Oreochromis niloticus: one gene and its partners. Each later gene encodes a partner of the first gene's protein in a complex. Links are inferred from orthologs where the notes say so. Each region holds a gene or a part of one and is shown in the gene's direction. Other genes may lie near its edges. The genes, in order: taf7, taf5, gtf2h3 and taf3.

Region 1 (7,270 bases):
TTTGTAATAATTGCAAATTAATTCTTTTACCCAATAATAAAACAGGAAATGACTGTCCCGAGAAAGGCGTAAGCCAGGATGGATCCCATGTTCCGAAAAAAATGTCTCTGAAAGACAGAAGAGTTACCAGATCAGCAATCAAATGCATACTTACTATAAAATAAATTATTCATCTTGATGAAACCCCTGCGGTCTATAAAGAGACTACAAATGGACTTTTAAAATTTCATAGTCAAAATATGATGTTATTTAATCAAGAGCCAAACACATACTGAAAATATGTATTTAATAAATGTTGACTTTTTATATGATATACTGTACCCTTTTTAAGCTGTAGCCAGCATGGAAGATGATAGGCGGTAGGAGAATATTGAAGAACACTTCAGGGTCAAAGGTCACCTGAGTTATACAAAACACAGAACAAAATTGCCGATCTGCATCAAAAGAAAATTAACAAGTTGTTTTCATTAATATTTCTTTCTATGCTGTTGCATTTATGGATCGACTGAAATATTAATTAATCAAAAATGACACATCTGGGGCATCATGACACAGCTTCCAGGACAATAAACAAAAACCTACTATAAAAGTAACATGGTATGTCACAGAAAGAGGACAGCTTCTAGCCACATACATATACACATACTAAGGCTAATGCCAATTTTAGATGCTAAATCTAGAGCAGTGCTACATTCAAATCAGTATGTGGTTTCAATCTCTGACAATGGATTAGATGTATTCATGTTTGGAAAACAATCCTAAATTGCTGAGCGTGAGATTATGACTTAAAAAAATGAAACTTGTTCAGCAGATTGTTTACTTGTTTGGTGGTTAGAATAGCATCAAGAATACTGCTTGTATGTAATTGTGCAGCTGTTTAACCGACAAAGTACAAAGTGACAAACACACCCCAGCACATGACAACTGTAAAACAACTACTTTTATGGTTTCTTTTACATTCTGTATCACCAATAAAGGCATTCTGCCAGTTATTTTAACAGAGCATTTCATGCCCTGTTTAGTCTTCAAACAGATTTGATCTAGATGTACAGCTATTCTTTTAAATTTGAAATAGCTACTTAATGTTGATAATAAATAATTAGTATTACAGAAAGAGAATCACAAATCATTCAGCTCACAAAAAACTAAAACCACCATTTAATCCCATTACAAATTAACCTGACTATGATTTCTCTCTTGCATTGGTTAGTTATGCTGTATTTAAAATATCAGAAGGGAAACATGTGGGGTAGCTGGTTTTGTCTGATCATCAGTGCTTGCAGATTTAAACATCTGCTATCATTTCAGTGTAAAATAACTGACAATTATGTCTTCGCTGATGATTAAATCATCTGATTGCTCCAGCTCAGGGGTGGGGAATTAATCTTCTCAAGGGGATACAGGAGAAACTGGGACTCTTGTGGAGGGCTGTACCAATAACTTATACAGAGATAAAATTAATACTGAGTTCAATTTACTGGCACTGTCCTCCACAACAGTCCCAGTTTCTCACATAGTCCCTTAGGAAAATAATTACCCATCTCTGTAACACAATTTCTTGTATGTAGACATCACGACTGAGTATACCTTGCGCAGCATCTCATTGTCCTGCACGTCGTTCACTTCATTGGCATTGATCTCCCCTTTCAATGTGTACTCGTAGAACTTGCCGCTTACATTGACCAGCAGAGTGGCAGGGCTGGCATTGACCTGGCAATTCAAGGTGATGTTGCTAACATCCCGAGGAACATGAATGCCATAACGCAAAATCACTCCAACAATTAAGCCTGGGGAAAAATTAATAAAAACGAAAGACAAAAAAAAAAAAAAAACAGTAGAGAGAGAAGAATTGATTAATACAGGATTTTTAATGGTTTATGGCATGTTGCCACAAAAACGGATGGTGAGTGCAGTTTTAGGCTACCTGACACTACAGATGGTCTAAAATGTTTCAGTGGAATTAATTTGTAGAAAAAAAAAATTAAACAAAGGTCTAGTCTGAACATCACAGACGTACCTAACAGCTTTGGATCTCAAATTAAAGTCTTAACACATCCATGTGAAAATAAATTACCCTATCAGATAGTGTACCAGCAAATTAGAATTTCAATTAGTTTAGATTAGATTAGACCATATTGTCTCCAGTGGGAGAAATTTGTCTTGGTCAACGGAGGGGAATATGTCACACAAAATAAACATCACAACATGTCTTTAAATATCTCATGGAGAGAAAATTGAGGAAGGATGACAACCATCTTTCCAGCTATTTTGATCAAATTTTGATTTGTGATCTGATCTTGACTTAAAATGCTCAGATCAAACATCTGTTACTATGGTAGTAATGCATGGTTTGGTAACCATGTAGTAGACAGTAATGTCACAGCTAAAATAATAGCATAATGTTATTATCCATCCTATGGAGCCTTCATAAAAACTAAAAGTGAGTGATTTGTGAATGTTTACACTCTAAAAGCTCTGCACAGCCAAACAGAAATTATTAATTATCTGCTAGATATGGTTCTACGATGATTCTACAATGGCACGACCACTTCCTCTTCTACGGGTTGGAAGAATTCTAACAATACTCCTGAAATTCAATATACAGAAGTGGAAGCAAAGTCCAGTTCCACACTCATGATTGGCACTTGTCCAAATAATCACTTGTGACTTGCACGAAAAAGCAAAAACAAAAACAAAACAAAAACAAGTTATTTAAGAACTAAAATTCAGTAGGATTCATAAGACAGTATTTGTCGAAATTGCTTAGGTGCTCAGATGTAATTTTTAAGACTAAGCAGTGTAAAAGAGGCGTTCACTGTCGTTAAATTACGCTTGCTCAATCACAACACAAACTGGCACAGTCCTGCTGCATAAATCTGTTAAAATTCGCCCAAATGAAGTATGTCATTAACAGGGGCGAACTTATCAAGCGTGGTGTTGACATTCATCTGTTTAAAATCTAACTATTAGGACACAATGAGTGTAACAGCTCGGATGACGTCTCTCTGTCACGATGGACCATCTTACCATAAATCATTGCCAGCCCGGTTTCGTGGAGAAACCTGAACCGCCGATGTTTGAACAACCATATTGTCAGGATGGTGAGGGTGAGGAGCAGGATAAAGATCAGCAGGTCAGCGCTGTCTTGTCTGTGGCTCTCCTCAGCCTTTTTCTCTGTAACGATGTTCTCCATGGCACTGTCCTCCTGAGGTGATGATGCTCGGCAAACACTGATGCAAACAGGCAGGCTTACTAGCACGAGCAGCCACAGCGTCCTTGTTGCCCTCCGGGCACTGCTGACAGTCACTTTAAACACCATTTCGACTTTCGGCGGCCAAATGCTGCAACGTCGCCGAAGGTAAAAATAAACTTGTGCAAATATTATTCATAAACTGAGGGGAGTGGGCAACAGAAAGACGACAGCAAAAGAGAAACCAATTCCGGCCCGGAAGGGAAAAGTAATTTTTCCAGAAAGTGTAATTTTATGTTTCAAATTAAAAGCACACCACCGTACCGTGGGTGGTTAAAATCAACGCCTGTGGAAAAATTTAATGCCGCAAAAAGAATAAACCTTCTAAATAAACAAAAATGTCTATCTGGCAGTTTTCTTGGCAGTTTGCTTCTTATTAGCGATGATAGTTTTCCCCGAAATCTTTTATTATGAAATATTTGACGATAGCCGTGCTTACCGGGAAGTGAGTCCAACAGTCCTTTAGGCTATCGATTTGTGTTGTATTGAAAATAAATAAATAAAAATAAACCAGATATAATAACGAACTTAACATTTATTTTAGGTTACGGTTTAATTCTTAATAGAATAAGTTTAAATAAAAAATAGACGCATATTTCCTGTGGTATTTCCTCATTCCTACTTCCTTCCTACTTTTCTTTTACCTACAGACCATTTAGCATAACGATACGAACATCAAATAATAATTTTAAATATTTATAGATACATTTAACTATATTGCATAAAGAATATTCGTTATTTTTTGTTTTTCAAAAGTACTTTTGACAAGTCTCGTGATACGGATGGTTGCGTGTGACGTTCCGATTTATCGGAATTTTTTATTTTACTGTCATGCACTGAAAAACAAACTAATTTGCACTGTTAGTCCTTATTTAATAACATGGCAGTACAAAATATGCATATATATATATTATAATTACTTAATTATTAACTAAAATATGCCTAAATTTGTAATTTAATGCTCAGACATACGAGTTGTACAGCCAAGGTACAGAAAATACAAATTTCCGAGGAGGTATTGAAAGTGGCAAAGCCCTATACAACACTCTTGTTTTCGCTCGTGATTATGCTATCACCGTGTAGCTAAGAAGTCTCGTTTTTTTTTACTTAGAGTTGTCATGTTTATGCGTGTTTGCCATTGAAAGATATCTATACAGCTGCACCATCTAAACTTGAAAAACGACGATGACATCTAAACTGAAAGGTACGTTAAAATCCTCTGCCCTTATCCTTATGCTAAAGATAACTAGCTGTTAGCCTCTTAGCCTCCACTTTTGTAAGGTAAAGAAACATTTTTAGTTGTCGGTTATTAAGATGAAGCTGATAGTAACAATAATGGTGATGATGTAACAGAACATGTTGTCTGTGGCATATTTTAACAACTGTGTTCGCAAATTAGCGTTTGTCGTTCCTGTCTTTTGAACATTATGTATAATCTCCTATAGTGTTACTGGTCCACAGTGTGGTAGACATCACTAATGTAAAATGCACAAGTAACCTTTATTAGCAATAATTATCGGTGTTTTACTTTTGATGTAAAGACATTCGTGATAGAATTTGAAAAGAGATTCATAGTACATTTGGTAGGAACGTTGGTTATTTTTTCGTTCATTTATTCATTCATAGTATAATATAATAAACTAAATGTTATATTGAACTAACAATAACATTTGTTGGTTTGCATATACGCACTGTGAGAAATAAAAATGGTTTGGCTATTTACATTTTTAGCTTATTACATTGTAAGTTCCTTTTTTGTCAGCACTGAAATAAACTTTACTGTTGTAGGTACTTAAGATATTAATTAGTGTTTATATATTTCTAGTGTTGCTGCCCAGTGAAAACCTCATACCTTTAAAGACAATTTTCCACAAGTTTAAAAAAAAAAGCAAAACAAAGAACACTCAAAGTAAAATATTGCATATAAAATCACCAAACTTGGAGGTTTCTTTCCACAGGAAGAACATGAAAGACTATAAAGTGATCAGTAATTAAAGCTGTCAAACAATGTGGTGGAGTGTAGTGTTTGCCCCTGAAATATAATGTAGTAGAATTTTAAAGTTGCACAAAGAGCCCAGCTAAGGTACCAAAAATGCTTTAAATGGTCCACAGACCAGTCCATCTAGCAGATGATTCAGTTGAACTGAATTTATAATATAATATAATAAAATATAATACAGAGAAAGCCACAGCAATCAAACGAAATGCAATGAGTAAGCATTCAGTGGGAAAGGCAAAGGAAAAACTCCTTTTTAACAGGAAGAAACCTCCAGCAGAACCAGGCTTCAGGAGTGGCATCCATCTGACACTGTGAAAAAAGACACTGTGGAAGAGAGCCAGAGATTAATATATTAGACACTATATTACTTCTTACTTCAAAATAGGAAAAAATGAGTACCTAATGTACTGTATATTTTAATGTTAAAGTAGAATGACAAACTTTGTAGTTTGTCATCATATAGCAAGCAAGACATATTTTAACGCTTTCATTATGGTGATGTGTTTTGATTTTAGTTGGGAAGGTCGGTTCCAAGAGTAAGGAGGATGCCCCTTATGAGTTGGAGAGCCAGTTTGTCCTTAGGCTTCCTTCGGTGAGACGTTTGCACTTGCAGAAATTCATTGTTTGATGGAAATTCAGTTTTATCACCATACATATGATCTGGCTTCATTTTTCTTTCTTTTGCAGGAGTATGCCTCAACAGTAAGAAGGATTGCACAGTCTAGCAGTATGAACATGAAGGACAGACTCACCATTGAGTTGCACCGTAAGCTGCTCACAATCTTGGCACTGGTTTAATGTGTCTCACACTGTCTCCCTGTCTTGTTATTTATTTACAGTTGGGTCCAGAATTTTGAACATTGTACATATTTCTATAGCAGTTTCATTCTTTTTGTTATTTAAATGTAACAAGCATACTAATGGAACTAGTTAAAGAAATGTCACCCACATGTCCCTTAACAGTTATTTGTCCCTCTAATTTGTAGCTGATGGTCGTCATGGCATAGTTAGAGTAGACCGTGTTCCTTTGGCCTGCAAACTGGTTGATCTGCCCTGCATGATTGAGTCACTCAAAACGGTGGATAAGAAGACGTTTTACAAGACTGCAGATGTCTGCCAGGTAAGCAAGAGACTGGAAATAAATTTTTACAGTTTTCCATTATTTCATTGGTTTAAAATAAAAGTACATTTTGGATTTTAGATACATGTTATGTAAATTTATTTTCCACAGTTGTAGTGTAGTTGCAGTGCAGATTAATCAGCATAATATTTTGCATTCATTTTTCCCATCCACGGGTTAGATGCTCGTGTGTACACTAGATGGAGACCTTTACCCCCCTTTGGAAGAGCCAACTGGCACTGACCCTAAGACCAAAAAGAAGGATAAAGACAAGGACAAGAAATTTGTTTGGAATCACGGCAGTAAGTAATTATATACACACAGCAGCTTTTTGACTTGTTTATATTGAAAACTTGGCATATCAGCAGTTCAGGAAACATAATGTCCCCTCCTTGGGTAATAGACTGATTTTTGGCTTCACTAATCCCATTGTTTTGCTCTTTAGTCACCTGCCCTCTGAAGAACACGCGCAAGAGGAGATTTCGGAAGACTGCGAAAAAAAAGGTTCTGACATTTTTCATTTTCCCTACAGCAGTCCCCTCCCATGTCCCATCCATCTCCTTAGCATCTCGTTTGATGATCCATCTTTTTCCTAGGCTCTCTTCCAACAAGACATTTACATTTCATAAAACAGGAACTGTGGTAAAAGTGAAAACTAAGATTTACATATAAATAAAGCCTTTCCATCTTAGTTTTCCCCAAAGGCATGCAAAAAAGCTATTTCACTATTGCTTTGATCAAAGTGAAAGCGAGTGGAGCTGGAGCACTACACTTCTACTTTGTCTTCTGAATAAATCTTCCTGAAGGTGCAGAGCTGAGCCATATTGATTTGGCCCCTTCTGTTTTTAATCGCTAATGTACTTCCTGGCATGTGGCCAGCTGCTACCTTGGTGTGTGTGTG
Region 2 (7,485 bases), on another chromosome or scaffold:
CTCATTTTACCATCTTTCCTGCGTTGTTACCGCTCCCCAAGTGCTGCCCCACCCCTCTTGGTTCCCGACCCTCTCCCCATCCCACACACCGTGCTTCTACCTCCACCCTCCTCTTCTCTGCTTTCTCCTTTCATCCCTCCCTTACTCTCTCTTTCGCTCTCTCTCTTTCTCTTTCGCTTTCCATCTCTTTGGGTATTTTCCACCTCTTCTGAGAGTCACACCTCATGAATTATTTACTCGTGCATGTCAGTGGGGGATTTAAATCCGTTTCTTGACCGTTTATTGCTCAAAGACAGGAAGGCAGTGTTTTGTCAGCGGAAGAAAACTAATGGTTCTTTTAATAAAGGTGATCATTGGATGTCCTTTCAGTCACACTCTCTCTCTCTCCCCAGCTGACAGCAGAATACTTGTCAAAAAAAATTAAGGAAAGATTAACAGTGAAACCCGCAGGAGCACAAAGTGTTAGCCATAAGGACATTCAAGGTGAAAGAACAGTGATCAAGCCAAAATTACATCATCATTTGGATAATTTATGCATAAATAGTAATGTTCATGTAGTTGGATTCATTTAAGTAAATCTCAAGAAACAGATATCCTCCACACACATCCACCGAAATGAAATATTAACAAAAAAGAAAGAAAGAAAGTGATTAGAAATCTGCCTCGCCCCTCTCCGCACTTGCAGGACTGCATCGCATGAACATGCACATACACACTTCCCTGCAAAGTGAATGCCTTTTTAATGATGGCCTTTGCCATAAATCTTTTTTTGGAATAAATTAATATAAATCAAATGTGACTGAAACTTTCATCTGCTAACACCATCACTGAACCTGCAAACCTGCAGATTCTTTTTTTGAATTTGCTGGTGCCTCCAATTGTAATTATCACATCAAACACCCCCCAACACCCTCCCCAGTTTTATTGGGTTATATAAACATAAAGCACATCTTCTGTTTGTGTGCAGTAACCATGCAAACGCACTCCAACGCCCTTTTAATTTAACTCACTGATGCATGTCAGTCGTATCAGCACTCTGCTTATTAGTGCCATAGAAATGTAAGGGTTTATAGCAAGTAGAGAAAACCAGAGCAGTCGAAATAATGATGAAATACAGCATAAATATTGCTAAATGCTGCAACTGACTAGATTTTATGGTAAGCTTTTTAATTCAAATAGTATATCATGGCACTAAAGCAGTGTGAATATCAGACTTTAAAGTGCACATGAAACAGTCGCTTTTTCTTTGAGGGTCTGTGTTCGCTCCAGAAAACCTGTCTCTGTTGGGGGAAGCCACACCCTGCTGCCTCGTGACAGAGAAACTGGGGATGGTGGAAGAGTCCTCCAGCATACACACCAACACAGCACACACACACACTATGGCGAGAGAGAGAAAGCGAGAGAGACAACTGAGCAAAGTCATCACTGAGGTGTGAAGAGAGGATGAGACTGAACACGCGTCTCTTTTCACCTCACTCACCCATTTCATTATCACTGCAAAGAGCTCTAGAGCAGCTTCACATAAAATGAATAAAAGACCACTTAATCAAACGAATGGCTTGAAAAGTGGGGTTTTCACTCGAATGTGGTCATTTAAGTCATTAAAATAAAATTTTAAAAAGGGAAAATTGGGCAAGAAAACAAGTGGCTTCTTATCCCCAGCTGCATTTGCTAACCTGGCAACACTGGGGAACCGAGGTTCATGTGGATCAGGGCGGGGCACAAAAAGATCACGCTGTGAAACACTGACACGTGAAAAATAATGGAAACACAGGAAGCTTCTTTGTTTAGAACTGTTTCAGATATCCTCACCAGGGTGATTTTTGTGAGGTAAAAACTAGAACTAGATGTGAAAAAAGCATTAGTTGATATTTTGCACTTAAAAATTTATACCAAAATGACAACATATGGGACATTTTTGACAACTAGTAGGGTTTGGTACACTTATTTACTGAGACTGGGATACCTACACGACTATGTCAAATATAAGTATTGCTGTATTGTACGATAGTACTGTTCTGAATTTCTTAAATCTTACAATCTGACAAATAACGCCATTATTAAAACAACAGAAAATAAAAATAACACTGAAACTTATCAAAAATAAACTGGAACTGAGCATGAAAAATTTTTTAATGAGTAAACACAGTCTTATAAACACTACTAAACCTTTTTTACTCATATTATGTGTGGCTAAATAACAGAAAGGGTAGACAAATGCAATATAAATGCATTTTTTTGCAGTAAAACAGCTCTCATTGTGAAGAAAATTTCTGTTATGCTTTGTGTGAGCATAAAAATAATAATGTTAGGTGATGTATCGTACCTATTTCAGAGACAGTTTACCATAAAGCTTCAGTATATAAAAATAGGCACTTTTACACAAATTAGCCTCATGTAATCGCATCAGTGTCAACATTTGTAAAGAATAATAAAGTATCAAAACAGCTAGAGGAGATTTCTCTCTTTATTACTTTTTACAAATCCTAATTTGATTTTCAGTCAGATCACAGTAATCCTAGCAATCCTAGTAGAACTATTATTCTGTCATTTGAAAAAAAAAAAACAGAAAAGAAAAAACGCACAACCACAAACTGTAGTGATTCAATACAAGTACAAAAGCACATGCCGCTGTTTCCTTTATAGACATGCAGACACTGGAAATTTAGGCCATATGGTTGTGCATAAGTAATCAGGCAGGCGCTTTGTAACTTGCTATATGAAGGAGTCACTTACAGATCAAAAACCTTTAGTCTGACATGTGTTTTAAAGTGAAAATGAAAACATAAATATGTCAGCCGTACAGAGTAATGTTGTTGATATCTTTACACCAAGGAAAGGAATGGATTTTCTCTCTAATTAGCAGCTTTACAATGACCCTGCGCTGATGACCACACCCTGAGCTGCTGGTGTTCACATGTATGTCTCCCACTTTCACCAGCTAACCCCACCCCCATCTCTCCTCCACGAGGGGCAACATAGCCGCAGTGTTATACAACGCTTCTTGTGCCGTGAACCCTTCTTTTGTCCCAGTCTTTAAAATCGACTGCAGCCTGCGTGCTGAACCTGCTGCTGAGTTATCACAGTCTTAATGTCGAGAATGTATTAACCAGGTTTATAGAGTGGAGATCAGTTACAACCGGAGCTATACTCAATAATACACTGCAAGTATATGTTTGTGTGAATTTTTGTTAGAACTCAGTATTATTGTATTTACAGTACATGTATTATACTTGAGGGTGGGGTCAAATAAAAAAACAAAAAACAAATCCAGGTTTTGCACTATTTCCAGCAGAGACACAATGAAATAAGATCAAGTTCGAATTTTTTACTGACAGGCTCCTTGAAATAAAAACAAATGCCGAACTGCCTCAAAAGATGCAAAGTCAGCTGTACATGAATGTATTTGACAGACTGTTCGCTCAAGCAAGGTGTGCTGTATTGTATGGACAAAAATTCGGACTCAGCAGAATGCAAAGTAAACACCACTCATACTCATACACAGTTACTGTCCTTCTTGTGTTTCCTCACTGGTACAAGTTGTCACTTATTATGAAAATGCTACTTATACCTCATCTTACTGTCTCACACATTTCCTGAAGACTCATAAAATATTGTATGGCACTGAAAGAGGCAGATGGTCCATAAGATAATTTAAAGGTGCAGAAGACTGATGTGTCAATAAACTTCTATATTAACAGTATAACTGAGGAGATGACATAGAAATTTGCAAAGTAATTTTCTTTTTGTTTTCATTCACCATGTTTTATAGATTTTATTAAAAAAATGTCTGATTTTATTCATAGCAGCAACACAGTGTCCAAGGAGGTGGCTGGGACGCTGGCCAGCTGTTGTGTGGGAACTAAGTGCCACCACCTGGTAAAAAATGATATAAATTGGATTGTAAGATTAAATCATGCACAACTTTGTTTTTTCTAGGTTTTCATGTGGGGATCAAATGCTTGCGTTTGATATAAATTACAATCTATATAGTGTCTTTGAAATTTGGACTGCTGTTCTTATAAAACAACATATATATCATTAGTTATAGATATTATATTGTTATAGATAGTTATAGATATGTCTTTGGCAAAACAAAGTACTGATTATTTTGTCACTTTATACACAAAACGTTTCTCAAGTGAAACCTATGCACTTGTGAATGCAGTCTTTATGCTGGGGTACAATTAGATATTTATATTATTATAGCATCAAGTTATGAAGAGGGCTGTGTCACAGGAGGTAATTCCACGTGTTTGATTTGGCAGACTTTTGACGTCAGCTGCTCCTCCAAACACAAACCATAAAATAGTTTCTCATCTTGGGCTGGAATCGAACCGGGGACCTTTCGCTCCTTAATGCGTAAACCGCTACACTACCATATTCACTCGAAGGGCGGGACTTCTGTAACGTAAATGATCGCGCTCACTGGTAAGAACCAATCATATGTCTTGGTCTTGTACGGTTTGTGTTTTCCGTTGATTCACGTCGCACATGCGCAATTCATTCTGAAAATGGCGGCCGTACAAGGTGGTATGGGCGACGCGGACATAAAAACAGACATTAAAACAGAACCATCAGCCGATGGCTTTGGAAATAACAATGCTAACGATGGTAGAGTGCTCTCTGCGTCTCCCGGCTCCAGCTCTTCGACTGGAAGCAACAAACAAACAGCCGCGGTTACCCCGGAGGACCAGCAGACATTGCTGGCAGTCCTGCAATTCCTCAAAAAGAACAAACTCAGCGAGTCCGTCGAGATTTTGCGTCGTGAGGCGGGATTACCGGAAAATTCACTGGACCCGAAGGCGAATGAATCGGCCGGGGCAGGATCGGGAGGTGCAGCCGGTATTGTGGACTTAGAAGGCGGGGATGCGAGCTCTCTTCTCAGCCGAGTTACCGGATCATCCTCCGCCGGAGCCCAGGCGCCAACCAAAGGTACAGTACAGTCGGGGTGCTGCCGCTTTTATGTATGAAAACACTTAACAAACGTCTCCTGATCAACCACGAGTTTGACACAACAGCCTAATATAGTGGTATCAGTTAGGGATAATGCTCAGAGCGCTAAGAGTTAAGCACTTTTATACTACAGGGTGTGTTAACTTCGAGTACTAACATATTTATATGTTTATATAGCCTTACGTTTTACGGCAGGGTTACTTCGTGTTCATTCAGTGAAGCGATTGCAGTGATAATGTGTTTTTAATGTATTGGTACCATTATAGGATGTGAAATTGTAATTGCAAATAGAAAGTAAAAGTTAAATGTATTAACTGTAATTAACTGATTAATACCCTTTCAAGTTTAAAAAAAGAGAGGTAAACTTGAGTTTATATGCGGTGGAAAGAAAGCCAGGGTCAGATACAAACTCTGCAGTTCTCTAAAGAAAAAGGAGGTTTAGCTTTACCAAGCATCAAAGTGTATTTAAAAACAGCACAAATCAGACCTTTGATATATTGGTGATGGGATGGACACACTGCAAAATCGAAAAGTTTGGAAACAGGGAATTTTTATGGTGGTTCGCATCAAACTCGAGATTTATAGCTGGCAATCATGACAGAAAGTTCAAGCACTGGGCAAATAAAGGCATCACAGCAATATGCACAATGGTTAAGGATGAAAATATGTTGGGTTTTGAAAGACTGAAGGAAAAATTTGAACTAGGTGAACATGAAGAATTTTGATACCTAAGATAAATAAGGTATTATTATGAGAAGGTTAAAACTGATAAAATAAAATGAGATTATTGAGGTATTTCAGAAGAAAATGCAGGGAAATCTCTGCTTTGTACAGAGATTTAAGGTCATGCAGAAAGACCTCCTTTCTGTATATTAAAGACAAATAGGATAAAAGAAAAGAAAGAACAAATAACTTTAATTTGTAAAACACAGTGCATGGCCACTAGCTCCAGGATAAAGAGAGAATTTAACTGGAAATATGATCTATTGTTGTTGTTGTTGTTGTTGTTTTGTTTTTTTAAAACTCCAAAAACTTGGAGGAATGCTGCATGCTGGAGACTGTGTGGACAAATTGATGTAGATTGTGCACATGTATTTTGCTCATGCCAAAAGATATAGGGGTTGTGGAATAAAATGTGCAAAGCTTTAGCATATGGAATACCCAAATCATGCAAGACATTCTATTTGGGCGACTAGTTAGATGACACAGGACAAAAGGAGGATGGATTTTTACTGTTTTTACTATTATCAGTCAGTTAAAAAGCAATCACCAGTATAAAGCGGGATCATTGACCTCAGAGCAGTGGTCGTGCATTGTTAGTAAAAAAAGTTTTGAAAAAGGCAAAGTTGTATTTACTTTGTAGTTACACTGACAGTTTAGATAATCTTAAAAATGTTTTTTTCCCACGTGGATAAAACCAACACACTGCTAATACAACCCATCTCATTGGGACTTTTTCAGCAGCAGTTGCAGAGGACCAGCCAGATGTCAGTGTGGTACTGTCAGCTTACAGCCAGCAGGGAGATCCAACTCTGTATAAGGTCTACTACAGGGACCTCAAGAAGTTCATAGAAACAGTATTGGACTGTCACAGAGCCGAACTGTCCCAGGTCTTCTACCCACTTTTTGTCCACATGTATCTGGAGCTGGTGTACAACAACCATGAAAGCGAGGCTAAGGCCTTCTTTGAAAAGTGAGTCTAATTGTACATATTTCCAAATATCAGCCACACTCTATTTTCCGTGCACTTTAATGACTTTATTTCTTTATGTTCACCTCCCTCTCAGGTTCAGTGGGGACCAGGAGTGCTACTATGAAGAGGACTTGCGCATTTTATCTGGCTTGACCAAGAAGGAGCACATGAGAGGCAACGAGACTTTGTTGGACTTCCGCACCAGCAAGTTTGTCCTGCGTATCTCCCGTGACTCTTATCAGCTGCTGAAGAGACACCTGCAGGAGCGTCAGAACAACCAGATCTGGAATATTATCCAAGAGCACCTCTACATTGATATCTTTGATGGCATGCCACGCAGCAAGAGCCAGATAGATGCAATGTCTGGCAGCTTGGCAGGAGAGGCCAAGCGTGAAGCCAATAAAACTAAGGTTGGATTTATACACCACACATTTGGACGTTTGACAACTCGAATTTTGAACCCTTGACCCCTAGACTGAGGGCATCCAAAAGCTTTTTAAAATTAAGATAGCCTCACATGTATCTGCCGCCAGTTTGAGCAATTACTTTATTTCTTTCCCCTATATACCAGACCTTTTGAAATGACATGTCCTTGTTCCTTTGTCACTCATCATGTGCAGGTTTACTATGGTTTGCTGAAGGAACCAGAAATTGAGCTGCCCCTTGATGATGAGGATGAGGAGGCAGAGAATGAGGAGGGTAAACCCAAGAAGAAGAAGCCAAAAAAGGACAGCGTGGGCTCCAAGAGCAAAAAGCAGGATCCAAATGCTCCTTCCCAGAATAGGTAGGGATTGTTTACACAGTACTGTACTGTGGGTTTGTTGCACACTACTGTA
Region 3 (7,845 bases), on another chromosome or scaffold:
GACGGCTTAATGCCCACCAACAAACCCACTAAGACAGAAAGCCTTCTTACACTAAAGGCATTACAGCACACTGAGCGATGGCAGTATAGAGCTACAGTATATTTTCTGCGTTTATATAATATAGATTTTTAAAACAGTTTTTTTTTTGGCTTGTTTTACTCAGTCTAGATATATCTTGTATACATATATCCTCAAAGACAATGACACAAATATATCTGTCGCACAGTACAGGGGGGGTCAGATATGCAGAAGTGATATGCAGTCCGGGGACCAGAGGGTCCAATTCAGCCCACTGGATAGCTGTTCGAGGACAATGACTGTATAAATTATTTATTATATGTTCATTGGTCAGATTACAATGAGGTCATTATGTAATAAAAATGTTCTGCTAATGCAGGCCAGTGTTGCTACAGAGAAGTAAAAATGAATGGAAAGTAAACATTTTAAAAGCATAAATTCCTGTTGCACTTACAGTGAGTCAGCATACAAGTTTTTATCCTTTTCTTCATCCAATATGATCTGTCATGTGTCATCGATGCATTTAATGACACTGAATGTAAAAACGTACATGTAATAAAATTTGATTTATTTTGCATGGTTCTCTCAAGGTTATTATTCTTTACTAGTTTATACTTTAATAGTTTTTCTAGCATAGTCCAGTTTAGATCAAAATGGGATATATGTGGCCCATTAACTTAAACGAGTTTGACACCCGTATAGGCAGACAAAATGTTTACACTCTGATACACTCCAATATGATTGTAAGCTTCTTCATGATTGCTTTTAGAGATACTTGCAAAAAGAAAGCCAGTGGTTTAAAATTGCAGTGTCATGTATATTAAATATACAGGTCAGTGCAAAACCCTTGATGCAATCCTCATTTCTTTATATTTAGCAAAGAATAAGTAAAAAAAAAAAAAAAAAAAGCTCCTTGGGAATCACCTTGCTGGTATCTTACCTTTGGCATTTATTTTTATTTTTATTTATTCATTTTGTATATTAAACTAAAGAAATGGGAAAGATTATATGCTTTCCAACAAGCTGAGGTAACAAAGTGCCTAAATATACAATTTAACATAGGTTCTTTGTTAAGTTGTCTGTGTAGATGCATTTATGAGAAAGTGATTTATAAGTCACTGTTAAGTAGATTAACAAACAAAAAGAAATTCCTCTGAAAACGGTCCAGTGCAAAGACTGCACTGGAAATGAGTAAAAAATTGAGCCAGTTTCCTAAAAAAAGAAAGAAAAAGAAAAAGAAAAACAGAATCTCCTGAAGACCGGCCGAACGACCGCCTAAGAGCACTTAAAAATCACAATAAAGTGTGCCTCCTTGGAATCAAAATATAAAGAAATGCTCAAGACATTTGCACAGTACAGAAATCGATGATTATACCCTTCTTCATCATGGTCCTTGGTTTTTATTGTATTTGTCCTTATTAACATAATTATTGCTCCTTTTTGTGTGAAGCTTTTTTTTCTTAATTCAAGATGCACTTGTGTTATTTCAGTGTGTACAGACTGCACTGCTGTATCATTTTCCACAATTTTTTAATTTTCTATTATCCCCCCTATTTTGGTTTGTCTACCTCGCATGAATAAAAAAAATATCTCAACATGCAAATATACACACTTACTACGCAACAGTGAGCTACTTCGGACAGACTTGCCACGAAGTGAAATGCTCCCCTGAAGGGTTTTTTTTCTTCTTTTGTTGCATTCTGTATAGTTTCACCGGGGACGTATTTCGATGTAACACACAACATTGGCGCTTCCTGTTTAAACCTCAAACACTCGTAGATTTCTTGAAACTTCGACGTTTAGTTTACGTTTTATAATTTCACACATGTCCAGTTTTGTCAGGAGGCCTGTGTTAGAAAGATAACGTGCTGACACGTGATCGAAGCGCTCTTCAGAAGCAGCGAAAGAGACCGAGCATGACAGCCGCTCATTGACTTCACAGTGAAACTACAGAAAAGGTAATTAAACGCTTTGTGGAGTTAGCGTTTTAGAGAAATAGAGCTGAATAGAATAGAATAGAATAGAAGGCGTTACTCGTTATGTGTTTCTTATGTGTAAATGTGAACCTTATTAGCTAGCATATTTATGTGTGTTTTACTCACACAACGCTGGTTTCCTCCGTCAGGTTTGATAGATGAAAACAGGTGACAGGAGAGTATCCCTGGACAAAATACAGAGTTTTCACATAATCTGTACAAAGCCAGTCAAAGTGACAGATTATCGCTTCCGAAAGGACTTATAATGTTTTTTTTAAATCAGTATGTGAACTTTGAAAAGGAAAACAGTTTCTCCTTCTTCTTCTTCTTTTTCTTATTGTTATTATTATTATCTAGGTATATATAAAAACTATTTTTTTTAGTAAATGTGCAGGTTGGTGAAAAGAGGATGTCTAACTATAAGTGTACAAAAAGAATATTAACGAGGTTGTTTACAGTGTTCATCAATGTGACTTCAGCACTGACATCAGTCTATATCTCAAATATACCGGAATAACCAAAAACTCTTCATGGCAGTTATATTGAAATTGTCTGTGGGCAACATGAAACTTCATTTACACTTATTGTTTTGATTTATTGTCATGCCATGTGCTATCTGCTAACTCAGTCGAAAACACAGAGCGTATGTAATATCTATTGTCTAATACAAGGGTGTGAAACACACGGCCCAGGGGTCAGAATCAGGCCAGCACAGACTCCACCCCACTGAACAGCTTTGGAAAAATGTGAAGGGGGGGGTTATATTTTGGACTTTTAACTGTATTTTCATAGGTTTTACAGCTTTTCCTTTGGATAATTCATGCTACTCTGAAGAAAGTAGTAGATAAACAATTAAATGACTTTACTTATATGAAGACATCCGAGGGGTTCTATGTGTAGTTATAAAAAGAGACAGACAAACACTATGTTTTTTGTGTGTTTTGTAACTGGAGTGTAATAAGCAGTCTACATAAAATAAGAAATGAAAGTGATCTTTTTGTTCTTTACATATCCGTAATCTTTTCATTTTATTCAGAATATCAGCTATAAGAACAGATCAACATGTCCTCTGAGGAGGAGATATCTCAGACCTCTTCTGCCTCTTCCTCCTCCTCAAACTTGTCTACCTCCCACTTCATTGGAAAGAAGGAGGACATTGTCAAAGCTGGCCGTGTGACAAAGCTGGTGAACGGATGCAGAGATGTGCTGGTCGTTCACCACCAGGGGCAGCTTTATGCAATGGACGTGCGCTGCTACCGTAAGTACTTCTTCTGCTGAGATAATCCATAGTACATTGCAGAGTATATGTTCTGCTACGGCTCGTCGTTAATGTGCATAATGCCACATTTTTTTTCATGGACAGATTCAGGTGGTGCTTTACAGTATGGAGACATTGAGGTGAGTTTTCTGCTGTTTATTCTGATTACTGGTGTATATTAAGAAAATCAGTCACCTTTTGACTCGTTTACTGTAAACAGCTGTGCATAAGTCTGACACTCAACTTTTCCTGTAATATCTGAAAAATGCAAATGCTTTTTTCTCTAACCTTTCGACCTGTGTTACCTGTAGGAGTTCAATGGACGGCTGTGCATCGTGTGTCCGTGGCACAAGTACAAGATCACCCTCGCAGAGGGGGAATCGCTTTACCAAGCTGTGGACGACCCTACAGCCAAACCGCTGAGGACTTACTGGCGCTCCAAGGGTGTCAAACAGAGGGTTCATAAGGTCACTGAGGTCAACGGGGATGTGTACGTGATGCTCAATGACTCCGGCGAAGCCATCGAGTCAGATGTCTACCAGACTGAGAAATACAGGCGCGCTTCACTCAAAGCCAAGCCGAAAGCCAAACCCAAGACATAACCTTTAATGCTTCAGGGATAATTTAAGGAACTTTGCTCGTCTTCCACTGACTCTCTGATCTTGTAACAGTATAGAAAACATGGTCTTACTGCAGACGTGCATAAAATCAGTAAATGTCTGGCATGGTGACTTCCTCAGGAACTTTTTATTTTGAAGCTGATACAAACAGCTGGCTGATACACAGTTTGTTTTTAGTTACATTTTCTAAATTATTATTTTTCAACAAAATAATCATTGTGTTTCATTATAACTTCATATGTGAATTTTTATAATTGTTGTTATTATTATCATTATGTTTTTATTGTATTTATTTTTTTTCTTGTAATTAAACTACCTTAATGGGGATCAATTGTTCCAGAAAAAATGGGACAGTGTGCAAAAAAAAGCAGAATATAATGATTTTGAAAATCATTGAAACATTAACTATTTAACTCAAAGTATGATGAAAAATAAAACATGCATCGTCTATTCTTATCTGTTATGCAATAAATAACACAAGGATAGACAGAGGCTTTAAAATGATTCAAAACTGTAACTGCTTAAATTGTGAGATCTACAGCAGCACTTCAGCACTTGGACAACTTCTCAGGTGATCAGTTAGTTCAGTTAAACTGATAACCCCCTGTGGTGATACTGCTAAATTTTATATACCTAATATACAATTTTCTGTAAAAGATTTTACTGTGTTGTTTTTTTCTAGCATATGAACAGGATGATGATTTGAAGCTTGCAAAGAAATATTAGAATTAATTTAAAGATGGAATTTCCATCCATAAATGTATTTTACAGACCGCCCTGCCTCCCGCCCTATGGCAGCTGGGAGGGGTTCAAGCGCGGCTCTAAATTGGATGAGCAGAAGATAAGGGATAGATGGAAAGATTTAAGAACGAAAAAAAGGGTTGGTTTATATGACCATGAATGTAGAGAATATAGAGACCGAAGAATTTACGCTACAGCAAATGGGCGCTAGGTGGCAGCAGTGTGCCGGGCGTCTGTAGTCTCCTATGAAAAGCCACAGAAGAAGAAAGATCGTTTCCTGGAGACGCCAGCGGTGTAAATGATGAGAAATAATGTGCGTAGCCCTGCATTTAATTGCTTTTCCTAAACTATCTGGACTTTAATACGCTCCTAGTTGTCTGCAGATTGTTTGAAGTTTAAGATAAAGTATGAGCACTAAGAGAAGATAGAGCTGCAGAATAGAAGCCATCTCTTTTTCAAGTCAATAATCTGCCGTGATGGCATCAGGTATGTAGCCTGGCTCGTAATGAGTCTTTGCAGTGTTTATTTTGTACACTCAGGTGCTTTTTGATGAAACTCTTCCAAAATCTCGCCCAGAGGACGAAATCAACCTCCTGGTGATCGTCGTGGATGTAAACCCCATATGGTGGGGGCAGCAGGCTCAGCGGGATCCACAGGTATTAGCTGTGATGTCTGTGGTTACTCTGTCTGATTCAAGTCTTTCTGAATGTCTCTGATGCTAAACAACGCTCCATGTACCCCTGTGTCCGCCCAGTTCACCCTGTCCAAGTGTATGGATGCAGTCATGGTGATGGGAAACGCTCACATGGCCATGGCTAGGACAAACAAGCTGGCTGTCATCGCTAGCCACTGCCAGGGCAGGTAATTTCATACCATAGTTTCATTGGGTTTCACTGCACAGAGGAATTTCTGAGGTCCAAACACAGGCTTGTAAACCAGAGTAAGAGGAGAATCACCATCATGTGGAAAAGTATATTATCTGTCAGTTCTTGGAGTTACATATTACAACATAAAAAATAGCAGTCGTCTTAAAATCAAGGAAATACAACATCAGATGAACCAAAACATGCGAAATGTTTTCAAGTGTCATTATTTGTTTGAATAATAAAATAAAAACAACTAACCCAAAGTGCAGAAGTGTAAGCCGGTTCCACCACATCCCAAAGGTGCTTTTTTGGATTGAAACCTGGTGACTGTGGAGGCCATTGGTGTACAGTCATGTTCAAGAAACCAGTTTGTGATGCTACAAGCTTTGGGACATGAAGTGTCCATCCTGCTGGAAGCAGCCATCAGGAGTTTGGTACAGTGTGGTGATAAAGGGACATGGACATGATCAGAAACAGCACTCTGATAGGTTGTAGTGTTTAAACAAAGCTCATTTGTTACTAAGGGACCCAAAGTTTGAGAAGAAAATACTCCTACACCATTACACCACCACCAGTGTCATATAAAAGACACAATGGATCCATTCTTTCATGTTGTTCTGACTCTACCATCTGAATACTGCAGTACAGATTGAGATTCATCAGATCCGGCACCATTTTCCAGATCTTCTATTGTCCAGTTTTGGTGACCCTGTGAGGGGAATTTTGGCCTCCATTTCCTGTTTTTAGCTGATGGGCGTGGAATCCAATATGCTCATCTTAGTATTTCTTCCACTAGTTTTAGTTTCTAGGAATAAAGTACTGTCTGTTTAATGTTTTGCTGCTGTCGCTGCTCATATGCACTTTTCTCCCACTCACTTTTTCAGTCACTTCCTGTATCCTAATAAGAGCTGGAGTGGAGGAGACGGTGGTGGCAATGATGCATCCTCAAGCGGAGATGGAAAATATGAACTCCTGTCTGCTGCCAATAACCTTATTGCTGAGGAGATCAGGAACATAATGTCAAAAAGTAAGCGTGTATTTGCGAGGATAAACTCTGAGGTATTTAAAGATGTCGTACAGTGCTCCCTAAAATCCAGTTTGTCTCACATGATTTCAGTTGAAGTTACGGGAAATTCAACAGATACTTTGTTGGCCGGATCCCTCGCCAAAGCTCTCTGCTGTATCCTTTTCATGAAGACTGTTTTATCATTTACGACATGTAGTGCAATAATAAACAGTGCATTCAGTGCACGACTCCACAGAATCAGCCAGGAAGTGTAAAGATAGACAGAGGCTCGAAACTGTAAGCAGATATTTATAGCTTTTTACAAAATTACTGTAATTAATGTCAAATGGGCCTACATATGTTTGTAGTGCAGGTAAAATATTGTTAATCTTGACTTTAGAGGACATTTAGTGTTTATTTTGAAGAGAAATAGAATGGTATGACTTATTTAATCTTTTTTTTTTTGCATTTTAAAGTTAAATTTATACGCCATCGTCGCCCAGAGAATGTTAGATATTTGTTTGTGTTGCAGAACGTATGTGATGTTTTGATCTAAAGTTAAATATCTATAGATTATTTATTTTCCACCAATATTATTTACTTTTTCACCTTAAACCTTTAATATCTAGATATTCACAGGCTCACGAAAGAGCTGGAAGGTGATTTCATCTTTATACATGCTTAATTATGCCAGTTCTTGAATGAAGTTTTCCAATTACCCTGCTTTAATGTATATATTTCTTATTTTTTCTATATTTTTTAGTTGGACAAGAGATTAAATCAAGAATATTGGTAATGCCCAAATTTTCAAACATCATGAATACTTTCGTTTCGTTTTTTTCCCACCTGACTTTGACCCCTCTTTGACCCTTTGCACTGTATAGGTGGTAAAAGCGGCTGAGGACTGCGCCCTCCAGTACATGAACTTCATGAATGTGATTTTTGCTGCTCAGAAGCAGGTAGAATATTTAATAGATTATTGTCCTGTATTAACACTTAATGACCCTTTACTTACTACAGCCACTGCTGTGGATGAAAAGTTGGACCTAAAGATGCTTATAATGAAATGCTGTGTTGAAATAAAATAGTTTAAAACTCCCAGAAATAAGTAAAACTGTCGACAGTATATAACAAAACATCTGCTATCACTTAACAATCCAAATCATTTGCATGCTGATTTTAAGAAATATCATCCACTAATCCTTTATAACTTTATTACACATAGAAGCCAAAATTTACAAAATAGACTTAAATGTTTTATTCGTTGTGACCCAAAATAACCAGCTGAGTCCATAAATTCAACAAGAGCGTCTTTACAGAGGTTTTGATTTTATTTTATTTTATTGATTAGCATTTAAAT
Region 4 (7,917 bases), on another chromosome or scaffold:
GGATAAAGTTGTGGTATGTCAGTGGTTAGAAATACCATTATTACTTTAGGATTAGTTTAACACAAAGTCAGGGCTGACCCAGGACCATTGCTGTGAGTCACAGTGCGCAGCATAAAGGTCCTTTCACATCTGATGCAGGATGTGCTGCTAATGCTAACTGCTAACTAAAAGCAAAGGATCCAGAATTTGTTGCGCTGGCTGCTGAGCTCTGTGGGTTTTTGCAGCAGCTCTACCTGTACTAGATGCACCTGCTCCTTGTCGTTTCTATCTCTGACTTTATGTCCTCTACAACAGTTTCTGTTTTTTTTGCTAGTTCTTCAAATGTTCAATAAAAACATGTATGCTAATTCATAACGAAGAAAGCTTTGTAATGAAGACTGTCATTTCCAAAACACTGCCCCCCCCCCCCCCCCCCCCCCGCGGTCCGCAGCGCTGTTGAAAAGGCTGTGGAAGTCCCTGTATAAAGCACGTAGACCTGTGACACAAAAATCACCAAACTCGGACGACCACAGACTGTTTTCCTTCGTGGTGATGAAGGAAAACGCTGGGTTGGCATGTAAAAGGGCATTTATTCCCTTCAAGGACCTGCAGTTCAAAAAAGTGCCCCTCCGACAGCCAAACCCATCTGTTCTCTGATTGGATTGTTACATTTGTGATTGACATGACATTCACCAATCAGATGACAGGAAGAAAAATAGGGTCAAACTTCGTATTTGTAACTTGCAGGGGAGTTTTTGGCTAAGTCCACACACAAATCTTTTTTACACATACAAATCTTTTTTACGCACGCACAAATTCTTTTTACACATACAAATCTTTTTTACACACGCACAAATTCTTTTTACACATACAAATCGTTTTTACACACACACAAATCTTTTTTACACATACAAATCTTTTTTACGCACGCACAAATTCTTTTTACACATACAAATCCTGATTTACAAGTACAAAACTGATTTACAAGTACAAAATATTTATGACCACATTTTGAGCCCATACGCAATAACAGAAGTTTGAGTTGAGCAGGAATCTTCCCAGTTAGCCTAGCGTTCAGCAAGGAGGCTGCAGCGCTGCATTATGGGATCTGTAGTTCGTATATTATTAGCGCCTCATATCGCCGGGCCATGCATAACAATAATAGTACATCTATATAAAATGATCTCGCGGGCCGGATATAAATGTACGCCGGGCCGGATGTGGCCCGCTGGCTTTAACTTTGACACATGTGCTGTAGACTTCTTTATCCCCAGAAGTCTTTTTTTCCCCTCATTTTTTCTTTTGCAAATAGAGAAGGCCCTCTGCTGGTTATTTAAAAAATTGAGCTGGGTTTAAGGCACTACTGCATTTGCTTCACTTTTCAGAACCAGAAGTTATATAAATGTAGTCTTGGGAGGTTGAAAAAAAGGAGGTTTTTGAAGATATTTCACCTCTCATACAAGAGGTTATTCAGTTCTATAAACAGGCCCAACTTGTAGAACTTTGGCAAGCTCATCCGAGCCTTTTCGATGTGGCCTCACAAAATTAAAACGACCGCAACAACTGTGAAAAGAGTTGGATGGACATTGCTGCTCAATTGCAGCTGCCTAGTCAATGTCTTTCATTAGTAATTTAGCAAAGTTGATGGTGGTGTGTGTGTGTGTGTCTGTGTGAATGAAAGACAGAGAGGGAGACCAAGAGACAGATTTTGTGTTATAAGCTTCATGTTATCACTTCACTTAATGGACGCACAGTGTGAGCACTCAGGTCACATCAGAGCATCGGGCTGTATAGTGTGAGACCATGCATCGTGACCTACGAACTTCTAACTCCTGCGATTCAATCATACAGTTTGAGCAGGAGCTGAATAACGCAACTGAAAAAAATCGCACAGTGTATGCCCAGCTTAAGCTATCCAATGAAGTGAAGCAAACAATGTCTAGATGCATGCTCAGTTATCTAGGTAAGAAAATCCCAAGAAAGGAATTGGATCCTGGATTGCGTGGCGCAAAGGACAATTGCTGCCTAAATGAAAACCTTTAGTGATCCCCTATGTCAGGAGCATCCGAACAGATGAGAGACATTTTCTTTCAACACAATGTCTCTGTGCCTTTCAAACCCCAAAACTTACTACGCCAAAAAAATTGCTTCACCCCAAGGATCGGATTCCCCAGAACAGACAAAGTAATATAGCGTACATAGTGAAGTGCCATAGTGAAGTGAGTTATACATCAGGAAAACCAAACAACCTCTGGCTGGCTAAGCAGATGGCACAACACAAACCAGCTACCTCAACAGGCCGGGACTTTTTACACCTATAGACCAGTGGCAACTCTTTCTAGGCTGAGATGTACGCATCCTGGCAACACTGGTTTTAATCAAATCAAATCACTTTTATTGTCACGTCACATGTGCAGGTACACTGGTACAGTACATGCGAGTGAAATTCTTGTGTGCGAGCTTCTCAAGCAACAGAGTTGTGCAAAAATACAATAACGTAAAACAAGCAAAAATATAAGAATGGCTAAATCTGAAAGTAATAAATATATGTACAATGTATAAGAGTATATGCATTATTGGATGTGTATACTAAATATGTTTTTCTACGTGTGTGTGTGTGTGTGTGTGTGTGTGAGTGTGTATATACATCTTTTACAAATGAAATAGAGTAAACAATAAAATAAGATATATAAAATGTGCAGAGGTTGGTAGTTGGACATGTGCAAAACAGTGGCATTAATGTACAGTATGGAGTGCATAATGTTGAAGTTCCAGTAGTGAGGGTGAGGTGTCTATGACGTGTTCAGCAGTCTGATGGCCTGGTGGAAAAAGCTGTCTCTCAGTCTGCTGGTGCGGGACCGGATGCTGCAGAACCTCCTTCCTGATGGAAGTAGTCTGAAGAGTTTATGGCTGGGGTGACTGGAGTCCTTGATGATCCTCCCCGCTTTCCTCAGGCACCGCTTCCTGTAGATGTCTTGGAGGGAGGGAAGCTCACCTCCAATTATCCGTTCAGCACACCGCACTACTCTCTGGAGAGCTTTGCAGTTGTAAGCGGTGCTGTTGCCATACCAGGTGGTGATGCATCCAGTGAGGATGCTCTCAATGGCACAGCGATAGAAGGTCCTGAGGATGTGGGGGCTCATGCCGAATCTTTTCAGTCTCCTGAGAAAGAAGAGGCGCTGCTGCGCCTTCTTCACTGTTTTGTTTATGTGTACTGACCATGTGAGATCCTCAGCCAGATGTACACCAAGGAAGCGGAAGCTGCTCACTCTCTCCACAGCGGCGCCGTTGATGGTGATGGGGGTGTGTACTTCCCTGCACCTCCGGAAGTCCACTATCAACTCCTTTGTCTTTGCGACGTTGAGGGTGAGATGGTTGTCTTGACACCAGTGGGTCAGGGCGCTGACCTCCTCCCTGTAGGCCGTCTCATCACCGTTGGTGATAAGACCCACTCCCTTTTATGTAGGGAGACAAGCAGGCCATTCATGTAGGGAGTGACTACAGGAACAGATCAGAGGTACATTTTTTCACCATCTTACAGCCTTTCTCCCACTCTCTGTGAATGGTACTCAAGGCCATTGATCAGTGATTGATCAGTGGTGATAACCATTTGCATATTAATGATCACGAAACTGACCTCACACCCATCATTAATCAGTGGGGCTAGTTTCAGTCATTATGCAAATATATTGTTATAAGGTTCAGGAAATCTGCAGTCAGCTGAGACTTAAGACGTCCCTTGGAGGAGTGACAAAGCATTTCTCCCTCTGAAAACACAAAGTCGAGGTGAAGAGAATCAACTTTCTGGAATCCAATCAAATAACGACTCACAACAGTAGGTAAGTGACTCTCAGGACAGGCCAGTCTAGGGCTAAATACCGAAGACTCTCCGGTGGTTAGAGGAAGCTTCTTGAATAAAATGGCAAAACTTCTTTGAGAACCTAAAGAAGTCCCATTGACTTATTTTCCAGCAGTCAAGACTTCTGGATTGACTGAGAACCTACACAGACACATTTGACACTTCCAGCATTCGCCACAGCTAATAAGCTTCACCATCACCAAATCTACAACCAGTTTTGAGACCCATGATAGAATTTGAGACTTCGGATTAAACAGCCATCTCCAGCACCATTGTCACAGAACCAATACAGATTTTTTTTTTCAAGAATGGTCCTTAAGGGATCCAATAACTTAGGAGAATCATTGCAGAGGTGCACTGAAGCTTTTGTGGTGGGCACATGGTGACCAGACACATTGACACTGGCTTTCCTTTGATGTGACTGTCAGTTTGTTATACAAGTCTGGAAATATATGGAGATAAACTGAAATTCGACTGCTTAATAAAGGTCTACAGCTGGAAGGCGGTGATCATTTTTAATAATCCAGCACCACCCAGTGTGGGGAATTAAACCTGCAGGCAAACCACGCTCTATTTCTCACACAAACTCATGTGATAAAGTTTACGTTAGCTTTCCAAATTTAAGAGTCACCTAGAATTAGCTTTAGTCTGACAAAATGAATTTTAAAAAGCCACCCTGCAAATTGGGATTTTGTTTTTCTCAGACAGTGGGTATATTTTTCTTGAAATATTCTACTTTTTACTTGGGCCGGAAGTGAGAAACAGTTACTTCGGCGTCACTCGGCGGTGAGAAGCTAAAACCGAAACTGACGGCTGGCGTGCCCTGAACGTTGTGAATGTTCCTGCAGCGTCAAAAAAAACGCGCATAGCTTAGTTTAGTTGAGTCATGGCTCTAATTTAAAGCCATGTTTCATCTACGGTAACTAGTCTACATTCAATAGCCCAACTAATGACCATTCCCAGCCTGAGTAAAATCTAGCTTCCTGTATAACCCACAGAGAGAGCTCCTGCGCCTGTGCAGACAGTCACGATCCGCTCGAACTCCGCAGAGCCGTGTAGGCGGAGGCTCACTGGCGCGCATGCGCGGACTAGATTCCGGGGATGGGTCTATCGATGGAAACAAGATGGCGACTCTGGCAAAAGCGCCAATATATTTACTGAAGTAGATGTCCATATTTAACCGTGGTAGTGGGTTTTCCCAAGCCCTTCGGGGCATTCCGCGAAACATGAAGAGCGGGAGCATGTTTTCCAAGAGGAATTGACCGGGATTAATATCGTAACAAAGTCAGCGAGATGTGCGAGAGCTATGCCCGCTCGCTGCTGCGTGTCTCGGTGGCGCAGATCTGCCAGGCTCTGGGCTGGGATGCGGTTCAGCTCACTGCGTGTGATCTGCTGTCCGATGTGCTGCATCGGTACATCCAGCAGTTGGGTCGGGTCTGTCATCGATACTCTGAGTTGTGTAAGTGCTTTCTTTGGTTCTCTTATTACTTTTTTTAGCCTGTAAACTCAAAAGTAGTCGATCACGTTGTTGTTAACTGGCTCTGCAGCTGGCGCCCCCTAGCAAGCAGTTAATGTGTCAGAAAGTACAGTAGGAACAGCAAAGCGACTTCCCCAGTACTATTATTATTATTATTGGGAGTATGCTGCTTTGCATCTGTTTTCAGTGCTAAAAGTAGCCGATCTCACGAGTATTGGTTACTTAATTGCTGTATAATCTATAAAATAACGTCGTATGCCGACTGTAAACCTGTTGAGCATCACTTCTTGGTGCAGGAAGAGTGTGTGCAGAGTGTGTGCTGTGGTTTAATGACAGCATTTTTGATCCATTTCAGATGGAAGAACAGATCCAGTCCTGGACGATGTCAGCCAGGCTTTCAGACTGCTAGGGGTGAGTCTGAGCGAACTGGAGGACTACGTCAACAACCTGGAGCCTGTGCCCTTCAGCCACCAAACACCGCTCTACCCTGTTAGCAAAAACAATGTCCTGCAGTTTCCCCAACCTGGAGTTCGAGATGCAGAGGAAAGGAAGGATTACATTCCAGAGTATATGCCACCCCTGGTCTCCTTACAAGAAGGTCAGTATAATAACTTGTATAGTATTAGCTATATGATCATTACTTTTTAGTGTGCACAGGCTGAAAGTTGAAAGCAAAGTCGAATCAAGTCCTCTCTAAATACTTTGCAAACAATATAGCATTATAATTAAGTTTATTGCAGGGTTGTTACATTAGACTATGATGTAACACAGCAGATTCGTAAAATAGTTTTTTACGAATCATCTTTTTGCTTTGTAGACATTTTATTGTGTTGTAAATTTTTAATGTATATTTATATTATATTTTATATTTTAAGTTGCTAAAAATAAGTGTAAATGCATCAATTCACACAAAGTGAAATACTTTTTTTAATACCCAAATATATTCAGTCAAAAGTCAGTCAAGTCAAAAGTTCAAACTAAAGTCATATGTTTATGTTGTAAATGTCATGTTGTTATTGTCAAAGTTCTTAGTTCTGTTTTTTATCTCCTTTACTCTAGAAGAAGAGGAGGAAGAGGTCCCCCCTGATATGGGTACTTCAGCTGAAGCTATGCAGGTGGCACTGGAAGAGGATGAGGAGGAAATAGATGAAGATGAAACGGTCAACGATGAAAATCATCCACTAAAGAGGCACCTGGATAGTCCTGATGCAGCTATGGGCATGATGCCTACCTCCAAGAGACCTCGGATGTACCCTGGCCTCAGCCCAGAGTGGGGTCTTGAGCCCAGGGAGCCCCTTACGTCTCTCAACCCTCAACGTGTTAGTCCAGGTATTCTGCCTTCTCATGACAGCCTGGACCCCCTGTCACCTGAAATGCCATCTGGTACCCTGCCTTCCTTTAGACCTCAGCCCGTAATACCAAAACACTCTGATCAGAAGGCCCTCACTGCTCCAGCAAGAAAGCCTAAGGTCTCTTCCCCTGGCAGACAAAGGACTAAGTCCCCTAAAGGGGTTATTCCTGTTCCAGTGGTTGGCAGTCCCATAAATTCACCAAAACCATCTAAGGAAAAGAAAAAGTCTCCAGGCAAGACAAAGAGTCCTAAAAGCCCCAAGAGCCCTAAAATGGCCCCTGCTAAAGCCCCCCAACCTCAGAGCAAACCAGATGTCATGCAAAAGTTACCGTTGTCCACACCGAGTGAGAGCATGGGCAAAGACAATATTCATTTGCGTCAGAACATAGAAGAAAGGGAGCTAATTGCAGGCCCTTTCAAGAAATTAGAGCCAGATAATAGAGCAATTGATGATTCTATTGACGCTGTGATAGCTAGAGCATGTGCTGAACGGAAACCCGATCCATTCGCGTTCTCCTCGGGCTCTGAGTCGGATAGCAATGGATTCTCCAGTCCCAGGAGACTGACTATTATGGAGCCATCTACACCTAAAGGCCCAATTGGTGCTGGCATCTTGTTAAAAGACACGTCAACACCACTTCACCCTCCGCCACACATAGGCCTGGGGAATTGGACGATGGATGATTCAATCAACGAGGTGATCCGAAAGGCCAACCAGGGGGGGCCATCTGCCCCCGCTGCACCCCAACCGGCAGCAGATTACGTGTCATCCGGATCAGCTTCACCACCTACCCCTGAACCACTCCTCAAGGTGTTTGAGGAGAAAAATAAGATTGTGTCATCAATAGATGTCAAGAAGAAGCTAAAGAAGGAGCTGAAAACTAAGATGAAGAAGAAGGAGAAAGACAAGCCAAAAGATAAAGACAGGGAAAAAGATAAGAGTAAGCTGAAAGAGAAGAATAAGGACAAGAACAGGGATAAAAACAAGGAGTTTTCTAAAGATGGGAAGATGCCCTGGAAGGAGTTTGGGGTAAAGGACGAGGAACTTTTTGTTCCACGAGACTTCGCCCTGGCTGAGGGCTCAATCAAAATGAAGTCAAGAGATGGGGACGGCTCTAAAAAGGAGAAGGAGAAACATAAAGACAAAAAGAAGGATAAAGAAAAAAGTAAAAAGGACAAGGATAAAAAGGACAAGGGGAAAGATAAGAGCAAGGACGACAAGCAGAAGCAATCTACATTATCCCCCTTTGG

Evidence for each region.
Region 2: taf7 (region 1) and taf5 share a complex: the UniProt entries of both Homo sapiens proteins name them as parts of the TFIID basal transcription factor complex. The link is inferred for Oreochromis niloticus from reciprocal best matches to the Homo sapiens genes TAF7 and TAF5.
Region 3: taf7 (region 1) and gtf2h3 share a complex: the UniProt entries of both Homo sapiens proteins name them as parts of the TFIID-containing RNA polymerase II pre-initiation complex. The link is inferred for Oreochromis niloticus from reciprocal best matches to the Homo sapiens genes TAF7 and GTF2H3.
Region 4: taf7 (region 1) and taf3 share a complex: the UniProt entries of both Homo sapiens proteins name them as parts of the TFIID basal transcription factor complex. The link is inferred for Oreochromis niloticus from reciprocal best matches to the Homo sapiens genes TAF7 and TAF3.

Annotation. Positions count from the first base shown.
Region 1 is NC_031966.2:19,243,615-19,250,884, reverse strand, and holds the start of taf7 (transcription initiation factor TFIID subunit 7), read left to right. Parts: upstream 1-4,264; 5' UTR 4,265-4,435; coding exon 4,436-4,454; intron 4,455-5,764; coding exon 5,765-5,841; intron 5,842-5,936; coding exon 5,937-6,015; intron 6,016-6,235; coding exon 6,236-6,369; intron 6,370-6,550; coding exon 6,551-6,671; intron 6,672-6,814; coding exon 6,815-6,873; intron 6,874-7,270. Other genes in the region: slc9a6a (sodium/hydrogen exchanger 6a), read right to left, coding at 31-107, 322-399, 1,588-1,787, 3,028-3,319. UniProt on the Homo sapiens protein: The TFIID basal transcription factor complex plays a major role in the initiation of RNA polymerase II (Pol II)-dependent transcription.
Region 2 is NC_031971.2:33,266,314-33,273,798, forward strand, and holds the start of taf5 (transcription initiation factor TFIID subunit 5), read left to right. Parts: upstream 1-4,479; 5' UTR 4,480-4,514; coding exon 4,515-4,935; intron 4,936-6,417; coding exon 6,418-6,649; intron 6,650-6,743; coding exon 6,744-7,059; intron 7,060-7,269; coding exon 7,270-7,433; intron 7,434-7,485. UniProt on the Homo sapiens protein: The TFIID basal transcription factor complex plays a major role in the initiation of RNA polymerase II (Pol II)-dependent transcription.
Region 3 is NC_031977.2:19,470,778-19,478,622, reverse strand, and holds the start of gtf2h3 (general transcription factor IIH subunit 3), read left to right. Parts: upstream 1-4,833; 5' UTR 4,834-5,089; coding exon 5,090-5,099; intron 5,100-5,189; coding exon 5,190-5,269; intron 5,270-5,367; coding exon 5,368-5,474; intron 5,475-6,363; coding exon 6,364-6,506; intron 6,507-6,596; coding exon 6,597-6,659; intron 6,660-7,114; coding exon 7,115-7,144; intron 7,145-7,248; coding exon 7,249-7,277; intron 7,278-7,369; coding exon 7,370-7,444; intron 7,445-7,845. Other genes in the region: uncharacterized protein LOC100696553, read right to left, coding at 1,635-1,763; Rieske domain-containing protein, read left to right, coding at 3,057-3,252, 3,358-3,392, 3,564-3,854. UniProt on the Homo sapiens protein: Component of the general transcription and DNA repair factor IIH (TFIIH) core complex, which is involved in general and transcription-coupled nucleotide excision repair (NER) of damaged DNA and, when complexed to CAK, in RNA transcription by RNA polymerase II.
Region 4 is NC_031972.2:48,372,849-48,380,765, forward strand, and holds the start of taf3 (transcription initiation factor TFIID subunit 3), read left to right. Parts: upstream 1-4,916; 5' UTR 4,917-5,131; coding exon 5,132-5,297; intron 5,298-5,670; coding exon 5,671-5,913; intron 5,914-6,374; coding exon 6,375-7,917. UniProt on the Homo sapiens protein: The TFIID basal transcription factor complex plays a major role in the initiation of RNA polymerase II (Pol II)-dependent transcription.